4 linked regions of the Drosophila melanogaster genome follow. The protein of the gene in region 1 interacts with the protein of each later gene in a pairwise test. Each region holds a gene or a part of one and is shown in the gene's direction. Other genes may lie near its edges.

Evidence for each region.
Region 2: the proteins of Cpr64Aa (region 1) and Mpcp2 interact in a two-hybrid assay, tested with the Drosophila melanogaster proteins (one large-scale study listed by BioGRID).
Region 3: the proteins of Cpr64Aa (region 1) and CG4287 interact in a two-hybrid assay, tested with the Drosophila melanogaster proteins (one large-scale study listed by BioGRID).
Region 4: the proteins of Cpr64Aa (region 1) and Fas1 interact in a two-hybrid assay, tested with the Drosophila melanogaster proteins (one large-scale study listed by BioGRID).

The regions. Positions count from the first base shown.
Region 1 is NT_037436.4:4,207,303-4,211,134, reverse strand, and holds Cpr64Aa (cuticular protein 64Aa), read left to right. Parts: upstream 1-1,956; 5' UTR 1,957-2,042; coding exon 2,043-2,243; intron 2,244-2,570; coding exon 2,571-2,948; 3' UTR 2,949-3,297; downstream 3,298-3,832. Other genes in the region: Cpr64Ab (cuticular protein 64Ab), read left to right, coding at 1-134.
Region 2 is NT_037436.4:14,535,862-14,541,000, forward strand, and holds Mpcp2 (mitochondrial phosphate carrier protein 2), read left to right. Parts: upstream 1-1,789; 5' UTR 1,790-1,841; intron 1,842-1,864; exon of another isoform or gene 1,865-1,987; intron 1,988-2,142; 5' UTR 2,143-2,170; coding exon 2,171-2,560; intron 2,561-2,867; coding exon 2,868-3,208; intron 3,209-3,691; coding exon 3,692-4,031; 3' UTR 4,032-4,580; downstream 4,581-5,139. Other genes in the region: CG43246 (uncharacterized protein), read left to right, coding at 773-1,031, 1,083-1,330.
Region 3 is NT_033777.3:15,961,651-15,965,471, reverse strand, and holds CG4287 (uncharacterized protein), read left to right. Parts: upstream 1-1,604; 5' UTR 1,605-1,873; intron 1,874-1,926; 5' UTR 1,927-1,932; coding exon 1,933-2,934; 3' UTR 2,935-3,305; downstream 3,306-3,821. Other genes in the region: CG32856 (uncharacterized protein), read left to right, coding at 288-398, 453-665; CG5516 (uncharacterized protein), read right to left, coding at 824-1,307, 1,375-1,421.
Region 4 is NT_033777.3:16,623,612-16,628,258, forward strand, and holds the start of Fas1 (fasciclin 1), read left to right. Parts: upstream 1-1,626; 5' UTR 1,627-1,731; intron 1,732-2,357; 5' UTR 2,358-2,500; coding exon 2,501-2,605; intron 2,606-4,647. Other genes in the region: Ccdc114 (Coiled-coil domain containing protein 114), read right to left, coding at 1-300, 431-726, 785-1,009. UniProt on the Drosophila melanogaster protein: Neural cell adhesion molecule.

The DNA.
Region 1 (3,832 bases):
CCGATGGTTCACTGCGCACCGTCTTCTACACCGCCGATCCCATCAACGGTTTCAATGCGGTGGTGCAGCGAGGACCAGTTCCGGTGGCTGCTCGCCCATTGGTGGCTCCAGTGGCTGCTCCAATCTTGGGCTAACTCCACAATCTTTCAGAGCCTTTAACACTGCTTGTAACCTAGCTTTTACATAACTTATTGTCTGCTCCTTAGTCCGTTGTAAAGTCAGTAATCATTAAACAATAAACTCAATAAGCCAAAGAAATACATGAAATCCTTCAATCATATTCAAGGAAAATCCGCAAGTATTCGCTTCTCAAGGCGTTGATTAACTAAAATTAATCAAAAGCTCTACTAAAATTCCGAAACGAGTTTAAATTTACACCTATACATTTTTATTAATTAGTCAGTTGATTAGACAAGCTCAAGGCCCAAAATGCATACTTGCCTAGTTAATGATAATGAACTAAATTAAAAACACACTTAAAAGTAGTGCAAAATAACAAGATATTCAATGGACATTTTTTCAAGATCAAAATTTGCGTGTTAATTATGATGCAAATATCGTCGTTTTGAACTTGAAACTTAGCAGTGTGTTAACTTTTTCAATTACATCATAATTGCGGGTGTCAAGAAATGGAAATGGTTATGTGCTTAATGGAACTAATTACTTGGTGAACATTTTCGTGACTCCATGCCATGTAAAAGTGGTTTTGTAATTTTAAATGTAACAAAATGTAACCAGGAAAAGCCCAATTCGCCAAAGAAAGCTGACCCATTCCACTTACATAAGACCGCAATCTTAGATGGTTATCTCCCCTCCAGCTGTCCCACGCCCAAAGAACTCTTCCACTCCAAATGAATACATTCACTCTCGCTGGCCCAACACGCACTCAAATTATTCAATAGCTTAATTGAAAGTAAAAAATCGGCACGAGATGCAATTTTTGGATTACGCAAACCCCAACCCGAGCATGTCCATAGATGTTGCTGCCGGCGCCGACTGCAACTGCAGCAGTTACTGCAACTGCAACTGCAGCAACGCCTAACAAGCGGCGGTACGCGTTGAAAATTAGTGATAATGGCCAAAATTGTCCCAATGGCAACAGAGCAGCGAAACAGAACCAAATCTATACACTCAAAAAAATACTGCATGACATTCGAAAATCTATAGGATTGAACAGAATATTCTACAATTGATATCCTTTTGTATTGTATATGTTATCCAAGTACTTTTTTCGTAGAGATTTTAATATCACATATCACATTCATTGCGGTTAGAACTTTTTCGTTTTCTCGCAGTGCATTGAATGCGTCTGGCGTAGATTTTTTGGGTGGGCGCGGCTTAGAGCAGCCAGCCAGTTTCGAAGGCTGTGCCCCAAACACACCTTTCAACAATCGACTGCTGGGTGCGTGTGCAGCGTCGCCCCAATCTGGTGGCCATAAAGTCGAGACATGGAGACATGGGAGGCACTGGTGCTCATGCGTCCACCACACCTGATCCGTCCGGCCACCCGGCTTAGGCCCAAATAATTCGCTTTCGAATTGAACTTTTTTGTCACGACAACAACGACGGCGATTCAGCCGGCGTGGGACCAGTTTGCTTTGGTCCAGCACAGTCCTCCCAGACTCCCAGACATGCGTGAACCGCCAAGCACCTCCAGCGCCTTCAGCTCGACCGGCAGCTCCTCCACCTCCGGACAGCCCCTTCTGATTGCCATGGGCAGCGAAAAATGAATTATTTTATATTTGTCGCGATCGATGCGAGCATTTCGCATAGGCACAGGCCGCTACAGACTCCACACGCATGCTCACTTTTTAGTTGTTTATTATTATTTTTTGTGTCTTGCTGCGCTTTTTGCATAAATATCTGGTGGCAGGCGGCGGCGGAGGCTGTGGCGGATTTTTGGGCTCGCGTCTATGTGAGGCCTATAAAAAGCAATTGTCGTGCGGCCACAGAACCACAGATCGAGTTCATTTGTCAGTCGAGCAGCAGTAGACCTCCAGTTCTCCACTACTCCATCGCAAACACCAAGCAATCCGTCCAGAATGGCACAGAAACTGATCCTCGTCCTGAGCGCCCTGGTGGCGGTGTCCTCCGCCGTTGTGGTCCCTGGTCCCGGACTGGCACTGCCCGCCTATCCATCGTACCCGGCGCTGGCCAAGGTGGCTGCTCCTCTGGTGGCCAAGGTGGCGGGTCCGGAGCCATACGATCCCAATCCCCAATACACCTTCAGCTACGATGTTCATGTGAGTCAGCTTCGTAAGAAGTTATTAGTCACCTCATAAAAAGCAATGCCAATTCAGAAATCTGCATTCGAATTTTATTGCTTTATTGAGCAACTGGTATGCAAATTTTGATTTTGCCAGACATTTTTATGAAGTGTTTATGGAAGCTTAGAACTATTAAATCCGACCACTTGGTTGAGCAAGTTGGATGTTGGATATAAAATATTTATAGTTTCCTTGAAATCCTTAGGATATAAGATGCAAAGGATTCGTTTCAAGGCATTTCTTTAAATATAAAGTACCTATTCCTATCCTTTGCTAATCCAACAACTTCCTTCTGCCCACCAGGATGGCTCCACTGGTGACGTGAAGAGCCAGCAGGAGACCCGCAGCGGAGATGTGGTGCAGGGCGCCTATTCACTGATTGAGGCCGACGGAACCCGCCGCATTGTGGAGTACACCGCCGATCCCGTGCACGGATTCAACGCAGTGGTGCGCCGCGAGGGAGCTGTGGTGAAGGCTGTGGCTCCGGTGGCCAAGGTTCTGGCCCCGGCTCCGCTGCTCCATGCCTCTCCTCTGGTGGCCAAGGTGCCCGCCTATGGTCCGGCTCTGGCGCCCGCTTACCCGGCTCTGGCCCACGGATACGGACCGGCTCTGGCTCCCGCCTATGGACCTGCTCTGCCCAAGCTGGCCCTGCCCGCCCTCTCGCCCCTGGGCTACCACTAAGTCAGATGGATGGATATACACCACTCGAATAATGCCGACCTCTTGCCGCAACCGAATAATGGACACATCGCGACCAACTTCTCCTGCCACCTGGGCTCCAGTTAGCCGGAGCTCATGGGCCGATCATAGTCGATAGTAGTTGTAGTATTAGTGGAAATGAAAGCGATTTATCGAAATATGTACATACGAATTCACGGACAGCGGATTCCGATTGCCCAGTCCTTGAGTTACGGATCCAATGTTCCCTCATCTACACTCACACATTCTCGAGACCTTTCATTTATGTTTCTTGTCTTCTTAATCTTAAGGCTGTTTGACCGCGATAAATACTCTATAATCCCCAACTCACAATCCCCGTTTCAATTCTTATTTAATCCGAGCCTGTGCACTCGAGTAGAACTCGCAGAATGAGAAACGAGATTGCAATAAACGAACCGAAGCTATGCAAATGGAAAGTTAATGGAGTATTCTTTTACGGGAAATGAAAATTTGGAAGAAAATTACTCTGATTCTTGAGTTTTAAAACGGAAGCTGATTTCTGTTTAAAGCTATTGCTTGAATATTATATCGAAATATATTACAACCATTGAACATTAGTAGGATTCAAAGACAATTACTATATTTGTAGCTAAATAATTGAAAATATCTTATGTTACATATTTTTTGAATATATAATTTTCAAATAAATCGGTTTCCTTCAAGAACTAAAGAGTTATATTTGAATAATATTATTCAACTAATAGGCAATAACTTGCTTGTGAATTTTTTACGCTTAATAAAAAGTAAAGCATACTAAAGCTATTTAATTCGATTTTAATTGCCAAGATTGCGTTTAATTCTAAATCATTGAATGATAATCGCTGTTATTAGAACCAAAGTGCCAT
Region 2 (5,139 bases), about 10 Mb from region 1:
CTCAGACTAAACCCAAATCGATCAGTTTATCGCATCCACTCTCAAGCTTTCAAAACTTATCCACATTCAATTTACTAAAACACTTTGCCGTAATCTCTATTTCAGATCCAGCTCCAGTTAGCAGACCGTTACACAAAAGCACTAACACAAAACACTTGGCAGAGCAGCTCTCCTTACGTTTAACTTTAATTACTCAATTATTTGCCAGATTTTGTTGTTTTTCACTTCTTAAGTTGGAAATTAGCCGCGAAGTACGCAGACCTAAAACGTTGGCCAACTGATTAGAGCGAGCGAGAGGCGGCGAGGGGCACAACAACGATCATATCGGATCGGATCTCGGATCGAATGGGAATCAACTATATATCGGACTACTACAGCGCGCGTGTGCGAACGCGCTACGAACCAAACTCAAACTGACGACCGAACTTCACTCCACAGAAATCCACGAGCGAGCAAACACAGCAAATACAAAAGCACAAGCAAAAGCAAAGACGGCGGCAAACAAAAAGAAAGAAGCACAAAGACAATCGAAAGACAGACTCAAAGCTTAGCGAAAGAGTCCGTTGAAGTTCTTTTGGTAAGAACCACAAAAAAGGCGGAAAGGCTTAAATAATCCTTGAACTTAATAATAACCTACATAATATAAATATCCAAGTGTATATTATCAGTCACTTTTGTTCGTTTTGTAACAATAGTCGTACATAGTGGCCTTTGGAAATACATACATAAACTTTATCAACGCGGTCTCATTGAATTATTTTTCTTATTTTAAATGTCTTTTAATTGTATATATTTTCTTATTATACTCAGTGGGAGACTGTTGATCACCTGTGCCGAAAAAAACGTATCTATAATAGAAAATGGGAGATGCTTAGATTGTAGGAAGGAAAATACGGAAATGTGTCGGATTAAAGAGACAGGATTCAGTTGTTATGAAGGAAACTTTTATAGGCGATTGGGTCGTCTACAAGGTGAATTCCCAAAAACAACCAATAAAGAGGGTGTTTGCGTTCCACCCGGACTGCATATCGGTATAAGAAGCATTTGAATAGTAATAAAAGACTAATTTTTTAATTTTACAGATACTATGAATGCCAAAGTCTGCTGCGTTTGGTCACCAGAAATCGGTTGTCAAATCTTATTAACTGAAGATCACCAGGGTGAATTTTGCTTCACTTGCAGAGTGAAATATAAAATGGAATACAAAGGCCTAATTTCCTGTCCGTGCGTAAAAAGTGAAGGATTGGGCCAACCCCATGTGAAATCATGGCAGAACTTTATTTTCACATATTTACTCATAAAATTATCCAGTTTTACCATGGGGCTATAACTTATAAATTTAAAATGTACATATAATTGAAAATTGTTATATATTTTACAGAGAGTTCTAAATACAATAAAGCTTTAGATTAAAATTTGTTTTATTGTGTAAAAATAGAAAACAAATCACAAATACTATGCAAAAATATGAGGATTTTACAAATGAATTTATTATTTTTTCAAAATATTTACAACTAATGTTATCAATATGAAATTAATATTAATAATTAATATTTTATTCACAACGAAGGCAATGGCATTAAAATAATCTCACCTGATACCTCGTATGCAGATGGTTCGAGTCCACGCTCAGGCGCCACCAAAGTTTTGCACCAAGGTTGCAGTCCATAGCCGAAGATTTTGACATGAGTGTGGCCAACTATCCTCAATCCGCTAGTTACACCTCTCCACGGCAAAACCATTAAGGCGTTTTGGTATTCGTGAGAAATCGCTGCACCTCCGTGAGCCCCCCCTCATTCTTTGAATCCTCGCCAACGAGCCGCTAACGTTGCTGACGAATAGTAAGTGCGAAAATTCCGAGCGAAAATTGCATAAGTTTTGTAAAATCGAAATCAAAGTAGCCGAGCGGTGCTCTATCGCTCCCTTAACATACACTAAATTTACGTGGTTGCTTAAAATCCTTCGCTTTTCGGGTAAATTTGGTGTCGTAAGTCCGGGTGCTCGGAATTCGAGGCACGCCGTTATGTAACCTACAAAAGCGAAAAGCAGCTGATTACCCAGCTATATATATAATTAGATAAAGCACATGTCGCCTCCGAGGTACATATATACGTAACTAATGGATGGTCTCTCTACTTTCAGCCGACCCCAGAACAAGAACAGAATCAAGATGTTCTCCAGCTTCTTTGAAACTGCCCGGAACTCGCCATTCCGCACCCCCATGTCGATGGCAAGATGCGATGCCGCCGCCCCAGTGGTGGAACCCCAGCCGGTTGAGGGTCGCCAGATCGCCGCCGCCGCTACCCCGGTGGCCAACCAGCAGGATTCGTGCGAATTCGGCAGCACCAAGTACTTCGCTCTGTGCGGAATTGGTGGCATTCTCAGCTGCGGCACCACCCACACCTTCGTGGTCCCACTGGATCTGGTGAAGTGCCGTCTGCAGGTCGACCAGGCCAAGTACAAGAATCTGGTGCACGGATTCAAGGTCACCGTGGCGGAGGAGGGCGCCCGCGGACTGGCTAAGGGCTGGTTCCCCACTCTGCTCGGCTACTCGGCACAGGTGAGATTGGGCTTCACTTTATGGGTTGCATAATCGTCTGGAGGCGAATTATATGCTCGTGACCAGGTCGGCTGACCTTAATTACATCGGTTCCGGGCTTGAAGCAGATAAAAGTGATTCGAATCGAACATTAGGAAGTTTGATTCCTAGGCTGATATCTTAGTATACCTCAGAATAACAACACACCTTTGACAACTTTATGGTTACGGGAGAAACAGATACCGAAGATAAAATCTTGGATACTACTGCAAACTGAAAAATAACTTCTGAGAAACAGCAGGCTAATCCGCGTTTCTGTATCTTTCAGGGTCTGTGCAAGTTCGGTCTGTACGAGTTGTTCAAGGTGAAGTACGCCGAAATCATTGGCGAGGAGAACGCCTACCTGTACCGCACCTCCTTGTATCTGGCTGCTTCCGCTTCGGCCGAGTTCTTCGCCGATATCGCTCTGGCGCCGTTCGAGGCCGCCAAGGTGAAGATCCAGACTATTCCCGGATACGCCAACAACTTCCGCGAGGCAGTGCCCAAGATGCTAAAGGAGGAGGGCGTCAATGCCTTCTACAAGGGTCTGGTTCCCCTGTGGATGCGACAGATCCCATACACCATGATGAAGTTCGCTTGCTTCGAGCGCACCGTGGAGCTGCTCTACAAGTAAGTAACATTTCCTCTTTAGGTATCCTCTAGTTTCTACAGCGGAAAAACTTACCAGTGCTGTGCACAATATCTGTATTCGTATTAGCGTTTTGCTATTACAATAGTTTAAAGGTAGACTGTTAATCTGTGAAATTTCAAAAGTGATATGCTAATTGATCAAAACTGAAAGTATTCATAATAAAATAAACTTTTAGCGCGTCAGCAGATAAGAATGCCATTCGTATCTAATAAATGGCACGCCAGAATAAAAACCAACGACGAATGCTTATCTTGTTCAAATATAGGAAAATCATATTATTTCAGAACTAGTTTGTTACTATGGATAAAATAAAAAAAGCAAAGCATTCCTTTTGAAGTGCAAATTAGCAGGTAGCCACTGAAAGTTCAAATGTAAAAACTAGAGCAATACCGTTCACAGTTCGGGTTGTCAAGCCCCAACGAACCCCGTTAAATCAATACTAATGATGCAACTTTTCCCAGGTATGTGGTGCCCAAGCCTCGTGCCGACTGCACCAAGGGCGAGCAGCTGATCGTGACCTTCGCCGCTGGCTACATCGCCGGTGTGTTCTGTGCCGTGGTGTCGCATCCCGCTGATGTGGTGGTGTCCAAGCTGAACCAGGCCAAGGGAGCTAGCGCCATCAGCGTGGCCAAGTCGCTGGGCTTCAGTGGCATGTGGAACGGATTGACTCCTCGTATTATCATGATCGGTACCCTGACCGCTCTGCAGTGGTTCATCTACGATGGTGTGAAGGTCGCCCTGGGCATTCCCCGCCCACCACCACCAGAGATGCCAGCTAGCCTGAAGGCCAAGCAGCATTAAGTGGGCTAGTCCAATTGGTTACCTTAAGGACAGAGTTCACTAGTTGGAGCGATTGTGGGCAGACACAGGAGCAACATACTTTTACTTTCTAACGAATTTCGGTTTCAGTATAGCGAAAATGCTTTATACTTGTTTCTCAGCAAGAATACATTAATGTTGCGTGTGTGCCATTGCACATGTACATTCCAAAACAACACTTTACGCATTTCTCTAACACAGCACTTATACACACTTTTTTATAAACACATCTTTCTAACTTTAAAAGCCAAACATTCTATCGTACGAAACTAAGCTACACTCAAGTTCAAAGTATTCAATTCCATATATATTCTGTTATACTATGTGCTATATTTAATCCTATGTGTGTCTAGCTTTCGCTGGAAAGTATGTCCGTATGTTGTACCTTTGATGGCCAGCCCCTTGTTATCTCCTCTCCGCTGCCCCCACAGGCCACACATGCGAATATGATATTAATGCTGTTTCAATTGTCTGACCCGATACCCAAGAAAGCACTCTGAATAAATTAAATTATAAAATATAAAAAACTCTACCAAGCTGCGTTTTCTAATCTTGTCTATCTATTGGGAACTGGTTATTATAGATTGTGGCTGTGATCACATTAGAACGATCGTGGGGATAACCTTATGACCTTATGATTTCCCTGACATTGAAAATGGGGTTTTATGGCGCTATAACTAACTAGCATTGTGAGGTAACCAAACAAGAGATCACGAATGCTGATTGCTTTAAAGGAAAACGGCTAATTTCGGTTTTGTTTAATCGTAATCAGCTGCCAATTGTCTGCGAGAATTTTTATGTGTTGCACAAAATGTCGATTTAAGATGTTTGAGCTAATCTATTATAATTAATATTTTAACACAATGAGCGATTTTTACATATTTAATTTTTAATAACCCACTCGATACTGTTGTAATATTTGTTTGATGCTTCTATAGAATTCGAATGCAAATCTTCATCTCAATTAAATTTATTAAAAAAAGGTTTGGACGTCTTGGCTAAATAAGAAGAACTACAGTATTTTTTCCAAAAATATTTATTTTGTTTATGAGCATTGAGCTGAATAAGACATTACAGTGGCTCGTTGTGT
Region 3 (3,821 bases), on another chromosome or scaffold:
TGCCTCACCGCCATTGTTATCGAAATTTTGCTTTTGCAACAGTGCTGCTTTAGCTGGCTTATCGATAGCTGATACTTAACCCATTGCTTTCACTTACTAAATAATTAATTACATTTCCTCATAAAGCAAGTGACTTTTAAAATACTTTCATGTTTTTAACATCATTTAGTTTTTATAAGTAATCTAAATTCAATTCATTTATTTCCTTGTCCATTGGAAGTATACCATATAAGGCCTTCATTAAAAAGGGGTCTTTCTAAGGTTAAAGTTTATTATTTGTTTTCAAAATGCTGCAAACAAATCGAGTCCTTCAAAAAGAGCAGGCTGAACTATTTGCTATCCAGAAGAAACTCGACCGAGTGCTCCCCGTCATTCAGGAGGCATTAAATTCACTAAAGGTATCTACAAATCTCTTGCTTCAATGACGGTTTTCCCAATTCAGTGTTCCACAGGTAGAGGAGCTGCATCTCAAGTCTCAGGTGGTGGGCCAGCAGAACCCAAAAACGCAGTGCTCCCCTGGAAGGGATCCCCTCCACATAGATCTGTCGGTGGAGCAGTCCCCAATCACAACTGTGATGGAGTCCCATCTCGTCAACAGCCAGCAAATAGATCTGGATCTCGTAAGCCAAATGAGGCGTTTCGAGGAGGAAGTCGACTCGGATTAAAATTGTTATTAAGGCTGGAACTTTACCAGAAAAACGTACATGTTGGGAGCATTAAAATATAAACAATACAGTACCAAAAGTATGTTCATTTTCGGTGTAAGTGTGGGAAAACTAAACTAGTAAAGCTACATACTACAGACCACAAATCGGTCTCTTGATTACTCTTGATCGTCAGAAGATTCAGGTGAACTCCCGGCTCGTTTTTTCTTTTTTTGTGGAGCTCCCTGCTTTTGATCCTCGCTGCTGTCGCTGTCCGAGCCACTTCCACTGGAGTCTGACGAGCTGCCTTCCTCGTCGTCCGAATCCGAACTGGAGCTGCTCGAGTCTGATTCGGATGAGGAGCCCGATTCGCTGCTGCTGTCTGAGCTGTCCGACGAGCTGGAGGAGGACGAGGAGCTCTTGCTCGTTTTCCGCTTTCGACGGACCTTCTTTCCTTCCGAGGAAGCCACTTCCGAGTGCTCCTCCACCTGGTTCTTGGGTGCGTCAGCCTCCTTTTGGGACATACGCTTGCTTAGCTGCTTGGTACGCGAGCTCCGGTGGACGTATTTGCGCTTCTCCTTGCACTCATAGCTCCAGTGTCCGATCTGCAGGCACTTCTGGCACCGGATGCCATTGGGAAAGTCTGCTGCTTGCTTTGCGGATCTGTTGTTACAGAATTCGTAGGTTACAACAAAAAAGCCGGCTGGGGTACTTCTTAAACGCGACTAACCTCTTCTTTTGCGCTAATTTGCGGGCAGCTAGGCCCACCAAAGTCATCCTGAAGCACTCGAGCAGACGCTGTTGGGAGGAAATCTTGATGTGGGTGGAAACCAACGTGGCCGGGTGGAAAAACTGGGAAAAATGAGTATCAAAAATGTTTTTTATAATTTTTTTCGTCACATTAGCGATAGTCCACTGAAAATTGTATACTTCGCAAATCGACTGTATATGGTATGGTCACCCTTATTGTTATCGGCTATCGAACTCAACAGCTGCTTGCCTAATTTGTGTCTACCTGGTTTATGTTGAAATGTCTGAATTTTAAAGTTAATTAAGCCAAAATTTAAGTGCATTATGCATGGTCGTAAAAAAAATAAGAAATAAGCAACAGCTGACAGCTATTTCACCCTTAATTGACTGGCACAAATTGCTTGGTCAAACAATAACAAAAGCGCTGTGCTGACTAAGCGGCGAAAGTGGTTGCAACAAAGTCCAATCACTATCAATCGGTAAGGTTGCTGCAGGTCATTTGCTGACCAGTAATAAAGGATTTCATACACAGCTAGCCATGGACAACAGCGCGTTGATGCCACAGGCGAGCGGACGTCATATGCCGCCCGAGGAACTGGCCATGCAAGCACTAACCAAGCAGCTTTACAAGTCTCGTCTCTTCCGCGGTTATTATATGGAACGCTGCTTGGTGGAGCAGGTGTCCGGCTACCGGGACGTGGTGGTGCTTCAACGCAGTGAGCGAGAGTTGGAGAAGCTGCTGCACTCGAGTGCCGGCCAATTACAAAAGTTTTATCAACGCTTCGTGCCCAATATGTGGGTGGGCATCACCTATGGGAGTTACGGAAGTTACCAGCACAAAGCAGATCCTGGTCAACTGGAAACCTGCATCTGGACAGAGATGAATGATCTGGCTTTTGGAGAGTATTGGTTTAGCATCAAGACCCTTCGCTTCCGGGACCATGAAGTCCAGTTCAAACTGAAGATGATAAGGCCCGTGGAGCCAGAGCTGATGGCGACGCCGAGGAGATCACTGATTCTTAATAGAAGTAGCCCTGTTAAGGCGATCACAGCGGGTGGGGAAAACTCCTCCTCCAAGCCGGATGAAGTGGCGGAGCAAATTCAGCTGGGCCTTAATGATTTTTTGGCTGTGCTGCAACAGTGGGGTGATGGAGTCAAACAAACCGTGTACGACTTCATGACCAACGATGTCAACAAGAGGAACATTTTGGGCACCATTCGGTTTCTGGGTCTACTAATTTTCTCTGCCTTGGGTGGAGCCGCACTAGCGCTACGATTCCTAGGCGTATTTGCTGTGCGATTCCTGTTTGAGCTGAGTCGTTTCACACATACAGCCACTCCAATAGTGTTTAAACTAATCGAGTTTCTGAACAAGATTGTGGGTGCTATCTTCATACTTTTGACCATGATTTGGAAAGACATTGTCACTCGTGGACATCCGGAACCGAAACAGCAGCAGCTGCATCTGGAGGCAAGTAGCCGCTTCAAGAGCATCCAATACGAGCGTTCCGAACCAAATCGACGTAGTCCCCGGTGGTGACCCGCCACTAAAAGCACATTAATGTCTAGCAAAGTGTTCCGAGGTGTAAGGGCAACGAAAAATCATTGAAATTGTGTTACTAGCCGTAAGCAAAGCGAAGCCAATCCCAATCCCCGCTTCGAGTCCGAGGGTATTTGCCCTGCAAATATGGGGACACCTATGAGATTTACAGATTTTAGTCAATTGCAATATTGTAAATTATTAATTGGCGTGCCACTGGCGCACAATCGCATGCTTATTAACCCCACTGTTAATTCATTGTGTATTGTCCAAAAATATGTTTTATTAAATCCGTTTAGTGTTAGATCCTGTAATTTATGTATCGAAAATTATTGTGAATAAATTGAATGCAATATGCGAAAATCGAAATGAAAGAGCTTGGCGTTTCGTTAGTTTTAATAGTTATACACTTTCCCTTTATTACTTTAGTTGATTTTAATCTCGTTAAATTGTTCTCATATATATTTATTATGTATATACTCGTACGTGTTCATGCTGTCGTCTTCGGTCTGTCATCGAACTTTACACAAAATGTTTAATTTATTTTCCGTTTGCTGTGCTTAGTTTTCAGGGTGCTATCGTCAGAGAAACACCACGTTCTGCCGTTGGTTTTAAATTGAGTGGAAAATGTTCTATGGCATTTCAGGGAGTGCCTCTGTTTCTAGCTGACAATTTTTGCATCCGGAGGATGCTACGAGGAATCCTCTGGTGTCTAAATATTTATCAATCATTAAACAACTAAATTATACTTTTCGGTTTTCCGTCTCGGGGGTGATATACTTTAATTAGTACATTTACATATATTTTACTTAATTTTGCAATGTATATTAATGGAATGCTGCTCAACAAACTTTGCTCATAAACATTAATTTAATTTTTGCTTTCTT
Region 4 (4,647 bases), on another chromosome or scaffold:
TGACTCTGCTTCTTGTCCAGCTCGCGCTGCTCCAGCTCCGGATTGAGGCGCTTTTGTCCCTTGATGTCGAAGAACTTCTGCAACTTGGCGTCGTGCTCCAGGCGGCGCTGCATCTCGCGCATCTCCTGGATGTGCATTACCTTGTCGTTCTCGTTGCGATCCTTTAGGACGGTCAGCTTGTTGCACAGCTCTTCTCTCTGGTCGAAAGCCAGTGTCGACTGGTCTATGAGATCCATGATGAACTTCTTGCCCTCGTTAAACTGGGTTACCATCGACTGCCACATGTCATTGAAGTTTGCCCTGGAGTGGAGTCGAAACGCATTAGCTCAATTCGGTATAAAAACCTAATAATATGGAGAGCACCTAGTTGACTTTTCATAAACCTAGTGTGTATTTTATAGATTGTATATATCTAGCGAGAAATGCTCACCGATCCTGCAACATGTGGTTTATGGCGTCCCTCATCTTGCTGTTTTCAGTGAGCACATCGCTGCATTTTTTGTTGACGACATCCAGGCGGTTCTCCAACTTGACCACGCTCTTCTGCACCTTGCAGATGGTGTCCTTGTAGCAGTTGTCGGGCACTTCGTTGCGCCGCAGGGCATCAATCTCCTTTTCCATTTTCCGGATGTGGCCCTCCAGTTCCCAGAGATTGGTTCGCTCATTCTGGAGCACCCTCTGCAAATCCGCCTGCTGTTCCTGCAAAGTGCCCAGGTGCTTCTCTCTCTGAAACCGATGTAAACCTTTTATATGTGGCTGACTAGTCCATTAAGTGGATATCTACATTGGTGTTCTTTCGCGCATGAGTACCACCTTCTAGAGTCTTGATCTCCTCCTTCAGCTTCTGGTGCTCCACTTGCAGTACGTTGATCATGTGATTCTGCTTCTTCAGGCGCTTGGCCTTCTCCTCGAGGAGACCCCGAAGGTCCAGCTGGAGACCCCGATGCTGGCGTTGCAGCCTCTGCAGCTCGGCAGTTGCCAACTGATCCAGCTCGCTTTGGTCAGTCATCGTTATTGGCTTTCTGAATTCGGTCTTTGCAATGGTATTGTCAAAACTGATAATGATATTAATTTGATTTCAATAGCAAACAAGCGTTGCTGGTGGCAAGTTGCTTAGTAACGGCGTGGTTTATCGAAGACTTTTACCATTTACTTAAAGTAAGAAGAACCAAATAGGTACACTGCTTGTTAAAATTCAATGTTATCTCCTTAGAAAAGTAAAAAAATAAGTGCTTGAAAATTATAACCGGTTCAATTTGGAATAAAATCTTTCAAACAGTAGAGACTCTGCTTAGCGGAGTTATCCACCGCATTCTGTCGTTGCCACATTTTGCGAAACGGTTAAAATGATTATTTATGCTTTTAAACGAAAAATGAGAAAATTTAAAGCAGTCTTCTTGTAATAATAATAAGATTGGATAAACAGACATTATTATAAATCTGACACAGAAGAGCAACGCAGCGCTCGATTTGTACTAATATTTTACCTCTAACAAGATTCGGAAAAGCATAAAAAGCACATAAATAAGAGTCACCGCCAAAGACATGCACAAATAAATATAAATGTTAAGCGATTTATTAACAGTGCACAGTGTTGCGATTTGAAACATCGACAGCTATCGATAACACTCGTTATCGTCACCACACGCTCGGCTTAAACCTGTTCTCCGCTTTTCGTTTTAATTCGAAAAAAACGTTCGAGCGTGGCGCACGTTGCGATTCCTCCGACTGGTACTTGCTCCCCTTATATTGAAACTCTGTGGAAAATCTATACTGTGCATAGGGCATAACTCTAAAATAGCTGCACGGCCCATTTCGCTGCCCTTGCTATTGATTTACCACCGCGCTGCGTTCGTTTGTGTGTGCTACTTAAAGAATTTGTGTGTTTTCCAAGTTTGGTCCGTGGACATTGCATAATTTCTGCGGCGGCCGTTAATGTTAATTCCTGCAGCCCGAGTTTCCGAGAATTACGCAGAATAAAGACCAGAGAGAAAACTATAAAATCGAAAACAGAAAAAAGTGCCGCAGCAGCGAAATGCAAAGGCGCATAATAATTAAACACACAGCGACGGAATGAAGAAAAAATAATACACAATAAGCGCAGCTTTGTTTCTAGTTAAATTGCGTTTGTGTTGTGCTTGCCGATTCCTCGGTGGTCCGTTTTTCGCTTGTTGTTCTATGTGACATAACGGAACTCTGGGCAAAAGCGAACAGGAAGCAGCGATAACCTTGCAAAAACAAAGAAAATACCAAGGAGGACAAAAAGCATGCCAAGCATATATCTGTGAAATAATATTTTCTTTTCCGAGGAAATGCTGTTTGTCGTCGGCTAACTGTTGTTTGCCTTTGAATTGCAGATCTTAATCGTAGAGCAGCACTCACACCAGCACACGCCCCCCGCAAAACAGCACACACAGCCACACTCACAAACGACGTACACTGCCAGCGCATAAACAAGTGCTGTTGTGGTTGTTGTTGCTGCTGCTGCTCGTCCGCTAAAATGCTGAACGCTGCAGCGCTGCTTTTGGCGCTGCTCTGCGCCGCGAACGCAGCCGCCGCCGCCGATTTGGCGGACAAATTGCGCGATGATTCGGAACTCTCTCAGGTGAGTCAGAAGAAGAAGAAGAAGCGAATAACGAGAACGTGGAGGATGAGGAGGTGAAAGGAGGTGGTAGAGTAAGAGCACGAAGAAAAGCAGTAGCAGCAGAAACAGTTGGTGCAAATAACCGAAACACTTGTCCGTAGTCAATTAAGCCCCCAGCACCACCCACCAAACGTCGCCCCCCCTCCCCCCGCTCACCCTTGGGTACAGTAGGGATTGCCTGCCATGAACATTAGTAATCCTTTTCTATCTTTGCAACCGATTAAATTAATGCGAAGAGTTACACTTCGAATATTTGTCAAAAGTATGTTTGTTTAGGTATCCGTACGCGCAACATGTAAAATTTGAACACATTCAGGGGCTTTTATTAGTCTAATATATCATTTCGTTGGAAAAGTATTTCTTAACTGCCTACATTTTATACAGTAATCAGTCGCATTTTTTCTGTAGCCAGGGAAACTGCCAAAATTAAAATAACTTTTGTGTGAGCAAAAAACAAACTATTTTTAGCAGACATTTATGCGTTTAAATAATTTTTTCAGCCTTTTGAATATGTTTCATATATTTCTGTGATGCCTTAATTTCTTCTCATGGTCGGATACCTTATTGCAATGATAAAATCAATTTTTTATTATGCCTGACTTGGCTTTGGCGAAGTCAATAAATTTACCTTGCCACCTAATAGTGGCAACTTATCAAAGTTCGGCTGTAATTGTGCCACCACCCACAAGACGCCGCCCCAATTCGTTGGCCTTGAAAGGAAAAGCCTTGGTGGAGTGTGCGAGGAGGCGGGGCAGATCGGGCGGGAAAAAGGAGCCTGCGCAAGAGGGACGCACCCGCATTTGGGCACAGGTAGCGTAGCCTTCGTTCCGGCAGCATCGTCCTTGACCTTTAGCCATCTCACTTGTTGTTGGACTGCGGAAAATCGATGATGCTGCCTAAAATCCCTGGCGGCAGTTCAGGTCCAGCCGACCGCTAAGCTCCACTTGGCCACATTTCGTATGCATGGCGGAGTTCGTTATGTAAAAATGAAAAGCCACATAAATTAAGCCCAGGTCTGCTGAATTGGCTCTCCCCAGCAAAAGGCAAATGGTAGAAAAAACGCCGGCCGTTGACGTCCACTGCGCATAACAGTTTTATATTTAGTTTTGCCTTTTTACACCTTCACAGGCCAACTCACATACAAAGTACATAGAAAACAAAAACACATTAATGTGTAAAAAACTCAGAAGCCAACAAAGGTGCGCGGCTGAAATAACAAGAACAACATGTGTAATGAATTCAAAGGCGGGGGTTCAGTCACCAGAAGGGGTATTAGCATTACACCAGGAGAAATATATATATATTTTTTTAATATGTTAAGGTTTATGGTAGCCCATTAAGCCACATAACTTATACTCAAAAAATAGAATTGATTTGAGTGGAAAATAGTAACATAGTTCGTCTATTGTAATTGCTTTTATCTTATATAGTAGGTGAAGTAGTAGTTGAATACGCGTTTTTAAGTAACTGACTTGAGTCCCTGCTTAATTTTCTAGTCTGCCTTAACACTGCATTTAACACCCGAAATACACGCTGCTTCAAAAGTAAATTAGACTTCCAAGTAAAAAGAAAGCGTGTGACAGACTGTAATTGTTGCAGCAAGTGTCTCAGGGAAGTAGTTGCATCCACACAGAAAAGGCAACCTTTTCGAGTTACAATAGGCGAAACAGAGCGTACAACTAAAAAAAATTAAAAACAAGAAGGGGGACTCGGCTTGCTCACTTGCACCCTTGCTTTAGGGCATTGTAACTTTGCCCAGAAGTTTGCCACTTTCGGAGCAAAGCATTTCCGGCCTCATATCTGGAGTACTGCTATACATGAGGGTGGGACCATTTGGTCGCCATAAAAAAGTAAGGGCGGAAAGTAATCTTCTGGCATTTATGCAAATTAAGTGCCGTAAAACTAATGGATCAAAAAGTCAGGCTTGGGAAATCCCTTTTAAAGTTACTTCTTAAGACTATGAAATAATCATTTTATTAATAATATGTCGTATTGCAGGTAGC